3 linked regions of the Caenorhabditis elegans genome follow. The gene in region 2 interacts genetically with the main gene of each other region. Each region holds a gene or a part of one and is shown on either strand. Other genes may lie near its edges.

Region 1 (5,411 bases), on a different chromosome or scaffold from region 2:
CCGCCTACGTTTGATTTAGATCTACAATTCTTAGAACCTCCTCCTTTCAACCGATCCTTTCACAAGTAAAGTGCTCCACTCTCGCAAGAAAAGGTTTTGATTTCACGCTCCAATATCAAAACGAAACTTTTTTTAAATACTAAATTACTTATTGAAAACAGATCACTGTAAAACTCTAAGCCACTTTCTGGATAAATAAAATTTCGATCTGAAACATTTTAAGCGTAACTGTGCACTACTTTCGACGGACGTAAAACTGCTCGGATAACTATTTTGATGATTTCCAAGGATTTTAGGGGGTTTATATTTAAGTGAATATCCTGGCAGCTTTTTGAAAGTGTTTTTTTTTTTGATAATATTAAATTTAATCCATCAAGCTCGATCGGAAAAAATCAGACCAAAATTACATTTCCAAGGATTCTAGAATATTTGGCTACTGTAAACACTTTTAAAGTTGACATAAGTCGTTTAAAAGCTGCAAAAAGAAATCTCGAGCAGTTCTAAAGCCCTCAAAAACAATGTAAAAATACACAGAAAAAGTTTAAAATCTAAATTTTTAAATAAAAAATTTTAAAACTCGTTTTGATGTTTTAGAGTAAAATAAAAACCTTTCTCTATCAACAAAATTGATCACACGCAAATTGGAGATTAGGATTTTGGCAAAGAAAGAAGCTAAGTTCTGGATGAACATATACGTGGTGGAGCTCCCATACAAGTGAGTACACTATCGACCCAATGCATCGGATTATTCAAATGAGCCTGAAACCAAACAGGCGATCGGAGGACGGTTGAACGACGATAGTGTTCTCCCCAACCTTTGCAGAACGAAACACGAACTGTGCACATTCGTGAGAGACAGTAGACGTCTGAAATGTTGGAAGAAAAAAAATGTAGCTGACTAGAAGGTTTGAGAATTCGTATTCTCCGAAAGTTGCATCGGTAAAAACTATACACCAAAAAATGTCAAAAACTTTTTATAAATTATTTTTAGTTGACAATTTTGATATATCGCACAATAGCCGTACTTTGGACGAAAAGTAATATGATATAATAGAAATTACTAATTCACTCTCACCTTGATATGTCTTCTCAGCTGCTGTTCTCAGCTGTTTGGAGAATAATCTCATGTCAAAAACTTTCATAGTTCCAGTTGGAGGCAACTTTGATACAGTATTCAATTGGAAACCATTCTTCATATTTGCACCGATTGACTGTACAAAAACAGGAATATTGCACAAATTCTCTACATAGACTTCACCAGCTAACAAGTAAAATCGAACACCCTTTCCAATGAGACCACGAACTTCGGCCGTTTGTGGAGAGCGGTTTGGATTGTTGTACCAACCAAGCGAGAAACGGCTGTAATGATGTTATTTTGATATTTACTTGAATTTATGTTTTAGTTCAGTGTACACTAGTGAATGTAGTTAAAATTCAGATGCGTGTAAGTTCTAGACCAGGGCTTCTGTCAATGATACAAACCTTCTGGTTTCTGAGTCAGTGCGACTAGCTGTAAATCCATCGATCAGGCAGTGATGCCCTTCTACATCGGCTTTCTCTCCAATCATCGTTCCTTCTTCATAATAAATTAATTTCAGCCAACTCGGCGACTCTTCATATTCTACACATTCATATATTCCAGCCTGTCGTGACAGATCTCCAAGTTCTAATGCCGAAGATCGATAGAGTGGTCGAGGTTCAATTGGTGTGATAGGCCGTCCATCTGCATACGTTGGCTTTCGGTTTCCATTGTTCTCTGATGAAAAATTCTCGGAATGCATGATGTCACTAACTTCGGAATCATCCATCATTTCTTGATCCAGACTTATTGTATCATTTCCGTTTGGAATAAACTCTCGAGGAGAAGCTGCATGACTGTAAATTTAAAGTTTTATAGATCTAAACTAATATTTCAATTTTTTCCAATATTCAACAGTTTCGTCGGCCCGACCGCCAAATTTAATTTTTTTTTCAACCTTTAGGTCGAATTTCGAATTCTACTTTCAGTTTAGCCAGTTCTTTAGATTGTTGAATCAGTATTGTAAAAACAAAAAAATTCCAAAAAAGTGAAATTCGTACCTAGCTGGAGATGAGAGTCCAGATCTATAATATCCGGGTTCCTCGTCGTCTTGTCGATTACTTTGTTGCAGTAACGATGCGAAAGATGATCCTAATGACATCGTGGTAGAGCTACACGGACTTCCATCAAAAGAGCCAAAATTTCCGTAATTCATATATTGAAAATCTCCGTTTTCAGCTGCATATCGATCATAGAGAAGCTGAAATTTTTATTTTTGAATGTGAGGGGGTGACAGTGGATGTTTTGTAGAAATACGTGCAAATATTTCAGTCAACGTTTTTGGTAAGTTTGCAAATTTCCAAAATTTCTAAAGAAAAAAAAAGATTAATTGCAACTTATTTACTGGATTTTGCATTTTGGAAAGAGTTCAAAAAGGGATATCATCTCTCAACAAACCTTAATTTCATCTCCTCTCATCGTCACATTTGGCACATCCCAACTTGCAACCACCTGTTCCTCTTTCAAATCCTTTTGATTCCAATCATCCAGTGCATCCTCAGTCCGAATCGGAGGTTCACCGTAATCCAATTCCTTATTTACAATAATTGGTGGAACTTGGCACGTCGGTAGTTCAACCCATCGATAATGATACGGATTCAGACAAACATTCCGACTATGGGAATTGAATGCATGTCGACACGTTAATATTGATTTCACTTGAGATTCATATCGAATAACCGGAAATCTGAATGCTCTCAAGACACACATGATAGCTCGTCCAAAGTTTCCAATGAGTTTCTCATTGTGTGCAGGACAGCATCGTGTTTTTGGATCACCTTTAATAACGGCATCGTAGAAAGCTTCAAAGCACTGGTGTTTTTTAGCTACTCTAGAGAGTAATCGGGTAACTTTGAGAGCCCAGTAGATTGTTCCCTAAAAAATAGTTGAGGATAGCTTGACACTTCAAATAGGGCAATTTTAAGGATTTGAATTTCTTAGGAAAAGTTTACTATAACAAAATTTAAAAAACAAGATATGGGCTTTTCTCTTTTCCTGTAATTTTCTCTTTATTTTTTTTTTGGATCTTTTCGAGTCTCCAACATACATTAAAACCTTTTGTCGTAAATATCCTTTCAGTTTCTTTAAGTATTACTATTTTTGAAAAAAAATTGTTTCCTGTTTTAAAAGAAAAGGCTAATTTGAGAGACACATTCTAAAATTAGAAAACGTATAAGTTAATGTTTATGTAGGTTGATTCTAAATATTTTAAAATAAAAATTCGCTAATATGTCTGGACATTTGATGTTTGATCAAGATACGGTATCTCTCAACTCTGCTCTTTTTTAAAGTTTCTTGTTCACTTACTTGCTCGCCGGCTGGCCTAGAATATGAAATTTAAAATTTGCAGATGGCTTTTTAATTTTTAAAAGTAGCCAGCGAGACTATTTGTGTTGAAAATTCAAAAAAAAAGTTTCAAATCTTCAAAAACATACATCTCCTTCAGTGATAATAGTTTCTTCTAACACTTTTTGAGCCATTGCCTCAAGTCTGGGATCAGTAGGTTCTGGTGAAGGAAAATCGTCCATTTTCGTAGTTTTAAAACTGAAATTTCGAAGAATTAAAAAAAATATGGGAGGAGATGTTAGGCTAGAATAAAATCCAAAAAAATGGGCCGAGCTTAAAAAGCAACGACCACAAAAAAGGACTGATTTGGGATAAAGAATAATAAATAGTACAGATGATTTTATATATGAAATTAATATTTTTCGTTGTGCATTGCCGAAATTCAAAAAAAATTTGAATCAGAAAACAGAATTATATCCAAAATGATAATAGAACCTTCTGGTAAGTCATAAGAGTCAGGTGAGCTACTCAAATGGGCGGAGTTTCAATATCTACATAGAAAGGCGAAATGAAAGAATTATGAAATTCAAGAACTCGGAATGAAAACTGGTATGAACGTGTAAAAAATGATAAGAAACAACAGTTTGTGATAAGATTTTTGTGTTGATCAGAATCGTCATCACCTATAAAATCAAGGAAAAATAGAGAGAGAAATGAAGAAAAATGAGAGGAAGTTTTCATTTGATTTATTCAACTTTTAAATGGATTCGAAGTTTTTTCGATATCAGGAACGCGGTTCCAAAATGATCGAAAATCTAGATATTTACCTGAATCTTGATTTTGTTTTATACAGAATTTTTCTGAACTCAATGAAGCCGATGACTCCTAATTAATTTATTCAAGTTTCGTTCATTTAGATATGACAAGGCATCACGAAGATCTCAAGACTCACCCGGCTTCTGATACGTGACCTAGAAATAGTTATAACTCGGCCAGCAATTTATCAAAAGCAAAAAAGTTGGGAGGAAAGTATAATTTCATCTTTTGAAATCGTTTCTCTTAAATTTTAGCAAATGTCCATTTTTAGAATTTCTTTGACTATTTTGAGTTTTTATTTTAAAAAAAAGTCCATTAATAGAAACTAACATAAGTACTACTAAGAAGGCGTCATATTGTTATTTTTGTTTCAGATGGATGTACGTCACTACTTTTTATTGAGGTGCTCTCATGAGGAACCAGAATAAATAAACTATTTTATAACACACTGTACCATTTCCAATTGTTTAAGAAATTAAAAAAATAGAATAGAACTCACAGAAAATCAGTTTTTTTCTGAATCTGGCGGCGAAAAAAGCCAAGATATGGACGGAACCTAATTTTGGGGTGTTCTCTAAGCAAATTTTGAACATTGATTTCGAATACTGAATGTTAGAAGAACGCCAAATTGACGGCGAATAGATTAGGAAAAAAAGGTTTTCAAAACAGTAATAATGTATTTATAAATTCTATAGAAGTATGACATTCTGAGAATATTATAGAAAAAGAGATTTCGTATTATTATTATTATCAAATCATTCTGTGAATCTTCGTATCATATGACTTACTATTAAACAACCAAAATGAGCTGAACCTAAAGCCTTGAAGACCACGAAGTGACCACAGATTAAATACTGGAGGAAGAAACAAAACAAGTAAATAATCATAACAATTTATCTATAAAATCCTTTCAAAAGTTGAAGTAAACAACATCCTTTGAGATATCATGATTAAAAAGAATGAATAATGTTTCTAAATTTGTATAATCCTCTTCCTCTTTTATATTATTTTTATGATTTCTTCTGACTTTGAAGAGAAACAAAATCGGATTCAGATAAATTTCGAAAATTCTTGATTAACTCGGATTAAATGTCTCCTGACAATTGCACAACGAGCAAAACAGATGAAGGGTAGAAGAAGAAAGAGAATTCGTAAGTAAAGAGAATCGAGAAGAGAATAGAAACTGACATAAAAAGTTAGAAGGTTTTATGATTAACATATATCGCATGTT
Region 2 (6,899 bases):
TTTTGAAAAATTTTGACCAAAACTTGATTTTTTCCCCAATAATTTAGTAAAATGACACAAAAATGAGTTATTTTAATGTTTAAGCAGACACACCAGGGGTGGGCGGTAAACGATTTTTTCCGGCAAATCGACAAACGGGCAAATTTCCGGAATTGAAAAATTCCGGCAAATCGGCAAACCGGCAAGTTTCCGGAATTGAGAACCTCCGGCAAATTAGGAAACTGGCAAACTGCCGGAATTGAAAATTTTCGGCAAGTCGGCAAACCGGAAAATTCCGGCAAACTGCCGGAATTGAAAATTTCCGACAAGTCGGCAAACCGGCAAATTGCCGAAATTGAAAACTTAACCTGAGCACTGCAAACGTTTGAAAAAAAAGTTGAAAACTTCCGGCAAATTGTGAAACCGGCAAATTGACGGAATTGAAAATTTCCGGCAAATCGACAAACCGGCAAATTGCCGGAACTAAAAACTTCCGGCAAATCGGCAAAATGTGCCAAAAAATAGAAATAATACGTTCATTACTGAATGTCAAATTCAATTTGCACAAATAGATAGAAAAAACGACGAAAATAAAAAACGCAGTGATACCGTAACTGTTGCTTTGGGATGGAGACTGTCCTGAATCGAAGGGGGGAGTTGGGGGGATTTTGGCTACTCAAGAATGACAAAATACATATTGAACCGGGCAGCATATATATATATATATATTAACAGAAAAAAAGAAGTGATTATTAAAAAGAGGAATTTCGAACCGAAAAGATTATTAGAAATAGGTACAAGTTTTCGAGTAGCAGCATTTGGTAGAGATACATTGATTTTTTAAAGTGCGTATTTTGTTGTGGAGAGGACGGTGTTAACAACAGATAGGAATATGAAAAAAATGGGGAAAAGAGGTACCTAATAGTATGGCAAGTGGCGAGAGAGATGTGGGACAGAAAGAGAGAAAGAGACAGACAGAGAGGTAAAATGAATTTAAAAACAATACGACTAGCGTCATTTTCAATATATGTACATAACCGGGGTGGGGTGCAACAATTCTCACAAGTGTTTTGTACATGAAGGAATGATAGGTTTGGCTTGAAGGAGAAAGGAATACATAATGGAATAAGAAAGATCATCTAATCAATTCTTGACGGTGGTGGTTTTGATAAACTGGGCCAATTGCTCATAGGCACCGGCGGTGAGCTTCGGGTAGAGGGAGAGAAGAGCTGGAGATGACATGGCCGTGGAGAGTTGTTGTTTCTGGAATTAGTTATATTTAATTTCAAAATAGAAATTAATAAGCGCAAATCACAAACTAGTAGCAGTGTATTTTTTCTACACTTTTACGACTTTAAAGGTCTCGCTACGCGCCATCCATCGATTTTTGGAGCGCGTGGCGAGACCATTTTGAATAAATGCGCCCTTCTTTAAAGTCGTGAAAGTTGGAAAAAATACACTGTCAGAGTGTCCCATATTGGTTTGATCTACGTAGATCTACAAAAAATGCGGGAGTTGAGACGCAGAGTTCCCAACTGAATTCGCATGGTTAAGAACGTGCTGACGTCACATTTTTTTTGGCGAAAAATTCCCGCATTTTTTGTAGATCAAACCGTAATGGGACAGCATGTCACCACGTGATGTAGCTCTCATTTTCTAAGATCTTTAAAACGAGCCGAGATATCAGCTTTTCTGTATTTTGGAGTAAAATCAAAGTGTTGGTGTTTGCAGCACAGGTCCAGCGAGTGTGAAGAGACACAGACGTCCCGGGACCCAGGGCGCGGGAGCAAGAAGAGCCGATTTGTGTCGATTTACGGAGGAATGTCTGTGTCTCTTCAACTCTAGATCTACGAGTGCTTAAACGGGAGCTCTAAAAAATTCAACTCCCCATGTATACTTACCAAAAAATCAGAATTCGGCGAGATCGGCAACGCTGCAGGAATCGGCGTAATCACTGGCGCCGGCGTAGAAACCACTGGCGGTGTCACAATCGGCAGAGGAAGCTTGATCCCAGACGCGATCAGCTGCTGGGCTAACGCCACAAAGTTGATATTTCCCAACGAGATCGGCTGTACCGGAGCCGGCTTTGGTTTTGGTGGCGGTGGCGGTGGCGGCAGTGGCGGCAGTGGCGGACGGTTACACAGTACACGTATCGCGTCTGCCGAGACATTCTTGAGCAACGCGTGCTCTCTTAACACGAACTCCATTGGAGTCAAAAGTTTGGCGTCGCGATCGAGATTGGCGAATTGCTCGGCGAGCTGCTGGATTTCTTGTCGCGTGGCTTTGGAGGCATTGTCGAAGTGGCGCATGTTGTCGAACTCTCCTTTGGAAACGTCGAAGTTCGCTGACGCTCGACTCTTAAAGTTCGGATCCTTCATCTTTGCCTTCCATTCTTGCTGCTGCGTGACGACTTTATGTGTGAAATCGGACTCCTTCACCCACAAATTGTATTCTTCAGGCGATTTCAGGAATAAAGCCTCGAGAGCTGCATCGTCCATTTTGTTAAGCTGCTCGATGATGACTGCCTCAAATTTGTTTCTAGGCTTTAGGCCTTTGGATCCAGATGGTCCGAGGAAGTCGGCAATATGGAGATTCTCCATCTTCTTCTTGTTCCTCAACTTGCACTTCTCAATATCTGCATCTCTATCCACAATCTCCTCGCCTTCCTCTTCTTCATCAGCTTCCCAGCCGTTGTCCGCGGCCACCGGCACAGGTGTCTCCATAGCGGGTCTCTTCGGCGGCGCCTGATGCGGCGCAGCTTCATCGTATTCACGCTTGCCAGCTCTGTGCGAGTTCAGGACAAATTTATTCCAGGCTTCCAGGTTCTCATTGGATTTATCGAATACTTCAATAAGCCGAATCCACTGGAAGCTGTTACAGCCGGTGTGCACAAAACCGCTCGGCTTGATCGGATAGTGATGGTGCATGATGAAGTCGGTCGGTGTGAACTTTCCCTCACAATGCTGGCATTCGATGCATCGCATGTTCCGCCGATTCTTGTACCAATAGCCGTGTGTTCCACTCTGCATCACATCCTCCTCCAAGTCATCGCTCTCCAACCATTCGCTGCAGTAGTCGATGAAGTTGACGTGCACAACGTGAACTCGATCGGAGATGTCCCTGGAAATGGCTTTGGTTGTTTTGTTGGTCTAGCTGGTTTTTTTTGTCTTTTTTTTAGTTGAGTTTTTGGCCTTTTGACCCCGAAAACTATTCAGATATTCAAAGAGACTCGAAAGATGATGTCTCTTCTCTCTTTTGAAAAATGAGCTTTGGCCGAGAAATTGTTTTCTTGTCGGGCTCTCTATTTAGAGTGAGAGATGCGTAGGAAGCGCGGCGTCCGGAGCTTGCTTCTAATTAGAGAGCTGCCCCGGCCTCACAGGAGTGTTTATGCTAGTGGAACTTAGGCTCGCCACACTTACCAGTTGTCGTGCTCGGCCAACGTGAGCATGCTCTCCAGGCGGAGCTCGCCCATGATCCGTTCAATGTCCGACCGGCTCATCAGGCTCAGCGATGTGATGTTGAGGTTTTCGCACTCCTTGCTCTTCTCCATGACTGCTCGGAACTGGGATGGCGACGCCATTCGGATGTAGACGTTTTTGTAGCCTGGAAAATTACCTTTTCAGCAAAGTCCTGTTAAAAGGGTCGAGGGTGCCTGGTGTTCCCGAGAGAGATCATGCTAAAAGAAAAAAAAACTTACGAAGCAAATTCTGAAACGACATCTGATCCTTCTTGTCCTTCTTTGTGAGCATATCATCGAGAATCTCAATCGGCAGGTGTGGCTCCCCATCGATGGACAACGCTGGGACACGGACTCTGCAAGAATTTTGAATTTTTTTTTCCGAGGTCTAGACGGAACTAGTCAAACTAGTCGCCTGGATAACAAAATAAAATAGAGTGAACACGCTGCCCTATCGAAAACATGGAAGTGCACCATGTTTTTGTGGAAATATTTTTGCTGTTTTTTAGACGATGACGCCATTGACTTCTTGGTCTTGTGATTGTTTTTTGAAAATAAAACTACGCTACTAGGCTTGTTGTCCCAGACTTCTCGCTGCACCCCCAAAGCTTTACGCTGACCTTTGCTCAGGTTGAAGTGGCGGCGGGGCGAAATATGTGTACGTACAGGATGTGCTCTTTTGAGCTCCGACAAAATGTTGCAGGCTCCTTCTTCTTTTTCTTCTTTTTCTGCTGCAGCTACTCCTCACCCTCATGTGACATTGTGAGGGGCGCGCGCGCCTCAAATGTGAATGCATAATGATTTGGGACCCCTTGGCTAGACACTAGTAAGAAGGAAGAAGTGCGCGGAGAAAAAAGCAATGGGATAGAATGAGGAAGGGGAGAGATGTGATTTTTGGAGTCCCTCTCTTTTTTTTGTGTTGCTTAATGTTTTTTGAGGATATATGTCGAGCAGGTGAAATTAAATGTGACTCATTAGGGGGTTTTTGAGACTCTCGACATTTGGTTCTAGGTTTCGCGATTTTGAAAAAGCGAGGAGATTGAAACTCCGCAGAAATCTAAGCCTAAGCCTAAGCTTGAGACAAAGCCAGAGCCTAAGCCTAAGCTTAATCCTAAGCCTAAGCTTAATCCTAAAAGTCTATTTGTCAGCAAAAAAGAAAAAAAGTTGAAATTCCGTAGGAATCTTAGCATAGGACTAAACCTAAATTAAAGGATAAGGTTAAGCCTGAAGTGAAGCCTAAGCTTAAGCCGAAGCCTAGGCCCAAACTTAAGCCTAAGTCTAAGCCTAAGCCCATTTTTCAGCAGTAAAAGTCTGCTCACCCCAACAACCAAATCCACAAGAATCTCCCCGGATCGCTATACTTCTTCTGATGGATCACAATCCCATCGGCTCGAGAATCCTTCCGCTTCGCCGACGTCGACGGTTGCCCATCATCATCGTCGTCTGATCTCGTCTCCTCATGCAACGCCTTCAAGTTCGCAATCAATGGATCAATGTCCATGAGGTCTGGGGTTCGGTGCTCCGGCTCCACCTGCTGCGAGGAGCCGATCGGCGAGTCGGACATATAGGATCTGTAATAAGGAAATGAATTAGGTAAGGGTGGGTGGGAGGAAGCAGCGAAAATGCAAAATATGTACAGACGAAATATATATTTATCAGAATAACAATGATGTGGCATATTGACACACAGAACACAAATCACATGTGATGTGTGAGGATAGATGAGCTGGCCTGGCGCAAAAATCTGTGAAAGGTGTTAAATGAGGAATTAGACGGCGAGACAGAAACTCTGCTCCGCCCCAGAAGGCGTGTCTTTTTGCTGCTTCTCGTGTGCCCGCCGCTATCCGCCCATTTCGTGTTGAACTCTTGACCATCGACTAGCTGCGAGAGCACAAACAGACGCTATTGACACAATATAGTAAAATTTACTATGCCAGACTTGAGAGCCCGAACATTTTGAGTTTCGAAATGAAAAATAGGAAAAAAAAAAAGATTATCAGAGATCTTGGAGGATTAGGATTAACTACAATAACAAAGAAGAACACGAAAAGTGTGACGGAATTGATGAAGGTGGATATAGTCTTATAGGTCAAGATTTACATATGATCTTACACTTTTGAAAGTTACGAAAAAACATTGTGATTTGGAGGCTAGGACGTCTAGAGATATTTCCGGTAGTAGCCCAGAAATTAGAAAATTGAAATATGAACTTCTAAGAAAATCAGTAAAAAAATGTAGCACCACAAATGTATGTAGTCTAGACCCCCGAAGAAATCGGACGGACATTGCAACATTGGGTTCCTATCGCAAAGCCAAGTGGGCGAGAAAGAAGAGGGACAGATGAAGAGTGAGACAGTGCTGGCGGTAGTAGGTGGGAGGGGGGAGGAGGAACTACGTACGATCTTTTGATTCGTATGGTCTTGTTGGAAATGTGTTTGTATATGCGAAAAGATAGATAGAAGATGGGGTGGTGGTGGAGCAAAGAGCAATAAGTTGTTGTTGTTGCGAAAAAGCTTATAGCTGTGTCGGTGGCGTAGATACAAAAATGTTTTAAATTGGCAAAATGTAGAAAAAAATTTGCTGAACATTTTTTTAGTTGACAACTTTTTTATAGCATTTATAGCAATTGAGATATGGTGGCTCAAAGATGAGACAGCATAGAATTCAAAAAAAGTGCAAAAAGATTGGAGCAGTCTATCTCTACAGGAATAGGTGGAACACAAATTTAATCAACTGGCAAAAGGTAGAAAAAAATTTGCTGAATATTTTGTTAGTTAACAACTTTTTGATAGCTCACAAAGCAACCGAGATATGATGGCTCAAAATTGAAACATAGTAGTTTCAGGTGTGCAAAGATTGGAGCAGCCTATCTCTGCAGGAATTGATGATACAAAAAGTGATCAACTAAAAAATTGTACAAACTTTTTTGTTGAATATTTTGTTAGTAAACAACTTTTTGATAACTTTCATACCCACAGAGATACATTAGCTCAAAGTTGTGACACGAGAAATAAACTTTGGAAATTCAGCGCCACATGACAAACGTCAGCGAAAATTTGAAAGAACACAAAAAACACAATGGCATATAATTATCTATAGATATTACTGCCCAAAGCCGTTCAACTCAAAAAAAATTGTGCACAATTCATGAGAAATCAAGCCAAACAACTGGAAGCTTATGCGTTATACGTGAGGAACGCGTGAGAATTTTCGAAGCCAAAATGCAGATGTATTTTTCCTACATAAACATGAATTTTGAACACCTAATGGTTTTTGAAATTATTATTTTGCTTGAAAATAACAAGAAAAAAAAACTGCAAAAACAAGATGTGACTGAGGGATTAGCGTTATAGACGTTATCAGTGTAGTCTGTGGAAATACAGGAAAAAAAATAATCAGAGAAAGATGTGACTTGAAACAGTTGTAGCTAGGTAGGATTAAGAGATATCAAAAAAGTTACAAC
Region 3 (4,330 bases), on a different chromosome or scaffold from region 2:
CTCAAAAATCAATGGGTGGCGCGTGTCAAGACCGTCGCGCGTAAATACGCCCCCCTCCCCCCCTTAAAATCGTAGAAGTGAAAAAAAGCACTGTACGAAGAAAGAACAAAAAGGCCGTAAAAGCATTAAAAAACAGCGAAAACACTTATAAGACAAATAGTTTCCCTAGAATTCATAGCAAGGCTTATTTTTTTGCTAATTTAAGAACAATTAAAAATTAAATTATTTTACTAAAATTTTGAAGCACTGATAACTGTTAACTTTTAGCAACTTTATGGTTATGGAAAATTGTTTATTTTTATAAGAAATCGTTGGGTGAAGAATTTGAGATTAAGAAAGAAGAAAGTTCCATAAAAGTTTCAGTATATCCCAGCCAAAAAAATTCGTGAAAGCAATTTTTTGATTTTAAAGCTAAAGAAAAAAAAATTCAAGCTAGTAAGAATTGTCAAAATCAAATATAGCTCATTTAAAACCTCAAACGTTGCTTAAACGGGTCGATGCCCACTTTTAGATGAAGAACGTCCCCCGATGAAGAACGTCGGAATCCGGCACTTGAAGAGAAAAAGTCAAACATTTTTTTGGGTCGAAAGATCGGGGACGCCGGGGGGATCAAACCTCTTTTGCAGCGGGTCGACCACTTCGATATATTTAAAAGGCTGGCCTTACAATTAGGCCTGCAAGACCAGCTAGAAGTATTTCACGGATTTCAATAATTTCTTCTATCTTTTTGAAATTCATGTAAACACTTTTCAGATTTTTCAAATTTCAGATTTATGCCAACTCGGCAAAACGGCCTAACTTCATAGCATACTCTTGCAACTTCTTATCAACAATTAGGCATTTTAGCTTTTAAGCAAACTTTTGCAGCTTTTCAGACGACTTTTGCAATTTCTTAGCAGATGCAAAGCTAAATTTCGCTCACAATCCCGTTGGTTTTCGCAACTTCTTAACAGCTTTTTACAAAGTTATATAAATGTTTTTATTAAGTTGCAGGAGTTTGCTATGAAGTTGCGACGTTTTGCCGAGAAGTGTACCCTTTCAATTTTGAATTAGAGAATAAATTTTATTTTTAAGGAATTTACGGTGTTTTGAATGTTCTTACCTCAACAAATGTTAAACAATTGTTACATTTAATCAGAAGCTTGAATCATGTTTTATCAGACCAATTTTTTCTTTAATTATATGTTAGGCTGCTTATTGAGAAATCGAAATGTAAAAGAAACAAATCTGTAGTTTAATTTGACTAAATTCAACAAGATTTTAAGCTACTTTTAAAATGCGAACAACGACATTTTCGGCAATTTTCAAAATATTCAAAATGTTCTCAAACCATTATGTTGATAACATTAGGTTGATAATGGCAAGTGACCAGAATAAGTATTGAGTGTGTAGTAAAAAAATTCCGATCAGTCTACAATTGCAGATATTTAAAATAAGCGACTATCGGAACTTTTGGCGATTACTGAATTATCGAAAAAATCTGATACCCGAACAGCAATCGCCTTGTTAACTTAATGAAAATTGAATTAATGAGAAATTACAACTTTCAAGCAGACCTAGAATTATTCACAACGTTTTACTCCTGAAATATATTCGCACAGAATCTTTGAAAAGTACAAAAATTTGGAATAAATTTTCATGAACAGAAAACCTATTAGGGGCCAATTCCGCAAAATTTTCTGGAAGCTTCTTTTCTCTACGGTATAGATGAGTTACCACATGGATGTCCAATCGCTGCGCAGGCCACGCCCCTCTGAGATCTCAATATGGATATGAGAGCCCGCCTCATTATGGGCGGAGTTCAGAAGAATGGGATAAAAGGGGGGAATTCAGTAGTTTAAGCCCTCATTCAAAGTTTTTCTTTGGAAAAAACAACAACTTGTTCAAAGCTTTTTTATTTCTACATCTTCAACTTTTTTTCGACTGCCCGGTTCAGCCCGCTTGAAGTTCAGCCATGTTCATGGCATCTTCACTCCCGGTGTTTATCTTCCTTCTTTCCCTCCCACATGGTTTGACGTTCAACTGCACCAACTCAGGTGTTTGTATTGAAAAGATGAAGCAGCACCGAACAGAGTACCTTAAGGTGAGCATTATTTGATCCTGTAAGATCATTCAAGCTTATCCGGATTTGACGAAACTTTACTAGTCCACTAGTTTGTTTGATCACTGTGATTGTGTCTTACTTTAATGTTTCATTTTACATTCTTTAGAACGAAATTCTCGACCAGCTGAACATGAAAGAGGCACCAAAGGGATTGAAGCCAATGGACCCAGAAATGAAGTCAGTCTACCTGGAGATGTATAGGGACTTACTGGAGAAGGACGAGCAGGATATGGGCGTTGAAATGTCATTCTACACCGCCAAAGATCCAAGTTATGGAGAGAACCCGTCGCAGCTTGTTGCCAAGTTTGACGTCACAAATGATTTGGAAAGAAGCGATATTCTTCAGGTATCGTTTGGTTTTTTTTTAAAAAGAATCCTTTTATTAAATTTCAATTATCAAATTTCAGGCCACACTCACAGTATCAATTGAGATTCCTGCAAAGGATTCAGGGATGCTTCAAGATGTTCAAGTTCAAGTTTACGAGAAGAACGAGGATGGATCAATGGGAGAGATGGTCACTTCTGGAATTTTCGCTACAAAGGGATCCGAACGTATCAGCATTCAACTTCCAATTGATACTGTCAAAAGGTATGACGAGCAAACAAATTGCAGGCGACTAATTTTAAATATTCCAGTTGGTTCACAATTTCTCCGATCCAAGGTATCTTCGTCAAGGCAATGCTCGACGGGCGCAACGTTGCCCTTCATCCCCAACAGACCACTGCTGACGTTGACAACATGCGTCTTCAGCTCTCCACTCGTCCAAAGGGGTCCCGCAAACGCCGTTCTCATGCCAAACCGGTTTGCAATGCCGAAGCACAGTCCAAGGGGTGCTGCTTGTATGACCTCGAAATCGAATTCGAAAAGATCGGATGGGACTGGATCGTGGCCCCACCACGTTACAATGCCTACATGTGCCGCGGGGATTGCCACTATAACGCACACCACGTACGTTTCTTGTTGTCTCATAACGTTTCCAAAATGAAAAAATATTTCAGTTCAACTTGGCGGAAACCGGACACAGCAAGATCATGCGCGCAGCTCACAAAGTCTCCAATCCTGAGATCGGATACTGCTGCCATCCAACCGAGTACGACTACATCAAGCTGATCTATGTCAACCGCGACGGACGCGTCTCAATCGCCAATGTCAACGGAATGATCGCCAAGAAATGCGGTTGCTCATAAATTCCACTTCCGATTGTCACAAATGTTAAGTAGTCACCGATTTGTTTCTTCTTAATGAATCAAAATTCATGATTTCAACCCCGTAGTCACATATCCTCTCCTTAGTTGTAGATCCTTCCCTCCATCCCGTTCATCCTCAAATCACGAGGAGCTTCTCTTCTGTCGGTCTCCTTTCCCTCGATCTCATCCCAGAATGCTCGCCGAAATAATTATTTCCGAATCGTGTGTTCACCATTCACCATCCATCTGATATATCCTTTGTCAGCTCTCTCTTTTCGTACCTCGGATCCTTCCACTACCTCCTTCGACAAATGTTGTTCCCCTCCCGAAAGCAACAATGTGATAGGCAACGACTCCTTCTCCCATTTTTATGTGTGTCTGTGCGTGCGTAGTTGTGTTTTCTGAGATTCAATTTCAACAAACCACGCACTTTTTCATCATCATTGACAAGAATATGTTATAAAACACTGTGATTGAGGAATAAATTATTGAGTGCTGTTACACATTTTCTTTAGAGTTTTAAACTCTAAAAATGGCCACCAGAGGCGCCTCGAGCTTAATTTTTTACTTAAAAATTAAGAAAAAATGGGCAAAATACTTGCAAAAAACGTTCTGCAGCATTTTATATAGTTTTCTGAGAAATTGCTTGAACGGTAACAATGAGCTTTAAAGTTCTCATATTTACCACGGTTGTACGATTTAACAAAAATCTCCATACACTTGGTGTCAGGTCTGGACAGTTCTGTTGCCACTTTGCTAAACAAGACAACTGTTTTCATTGAATTTCATTCCTACAAATACGACAGTAAAGTTTATATTTCCCTGTTCTCTAGAACATGACATTAGAAACCATTCCCAACAATCGTTTGAAAAAGTTGCATTAGCAAGGAGAAGAATTTAATGTAAAGAGACAAGTAGATAAGGATCTTAAGTTGTTCGTTTAGTTCGTTTTTTCGGTGAATGATAGAATGAATACAAAAAGGTATTGAACTGTTCCGAAAAACTATTAGGAACTTCCCGAAATTAAGTTTTGAAAAT

What was found. A genetic interaction does not mean that the proteins touch.
Region 1: of daf-5 (region 2) and daf-8, changing one suppresses a phenotype caused by changing the other (phenotypic suppression), as found in Caenorhabditis elegans (one study listed by BioGRID).
Region 3: of daf-5 (region 2) and daf-7, changing one suppresses a phenotype caused by changing the other (phenotypic suppression), as found in Caenorhabditis elegans (one study listed by BioGRID).

What each region holds. Positions count from the first base shown.
Region 1 is NC_003279.8:8,583,884-8,589,294, forward strand, and holds daf-8 (Smad protein daf-8), read right to left. Parts: upstream 3,625-5,411; 5' UTR 3,607-3,624; coding exon 3,514-3,606; intron 2,954-3,513; coding exon 2,477-2,953; intron 2,280-2,476; coding exon 2,080-2,279; intron 1,876-2,079; coding exon 1,483-1,875; intron 1,360-1,482; coding exon 1,076-1,359; intron 867-1,075; coding exon 673-866; 3' UTR 541-672; downstream 1-540. UniProt on the Caenorhabditis elegans protein: Probably a receptor-regulated SMAD (R-SMAD) that is an intracellular signal transducer and transcriptional modulator activated by TGF-beta-like daf-7 signaling.
Region 2 is NC_003280.10:14,032,715-14,039,613, forward strand, and holds daf-5 (Ski protein homolog), read right to left. Parts: upstream 5,008-6,899; 5' UTR 5,001-5,007; coding exon 4,756-5,000; intron 3,793-4,755; coding exon 3,677-3,792; intron 3,583-3,676; coding exon 3,399-3,582; intron 3,100-3,398; coding exon 1,881-3,099; intron 1,243-1,880; coding exon 1,123-1,242; 3' UTR 506-1,122; downstream 1-505. UniProt on the Caenorhabditis elegans protein: Probable component of transcriptional regulatory complex with SMAD protein daf-3. Required to regulate entry into a developmentally arrested larval state known as dauer, in response to harsh environmental conditions.
Region 3 is NC_003281.10:809,984-814,313, forward strand, and holds daf-7 (Dauer larva development regulatory growth factor daf-7), read left to right. Parts: upstream 1-1,860; 5' UTR 1,861-1,954; coding exon 1,955-2,083; intron 2,084-2,210; coding exon 2,211-2,450; intron 2,451-2,511; coding exon 2,512-2,693; intron 2,694-2,740; coding exon 2,741-3,053; intron 3,054-3,103; coding exon 3,104-3,292; 3' UTR 3,293-3,790; downstream 3,791-4,330. UniProt on the Caenorhabditis elegans protein: Under harsh environmental conditions, larvae enter a developmentally arrested state known as dauer; TGF-beta-like daf-7 acts to inhibit dauer larva formation and promote growth. May be a ligand to cell surface receptor daf-4.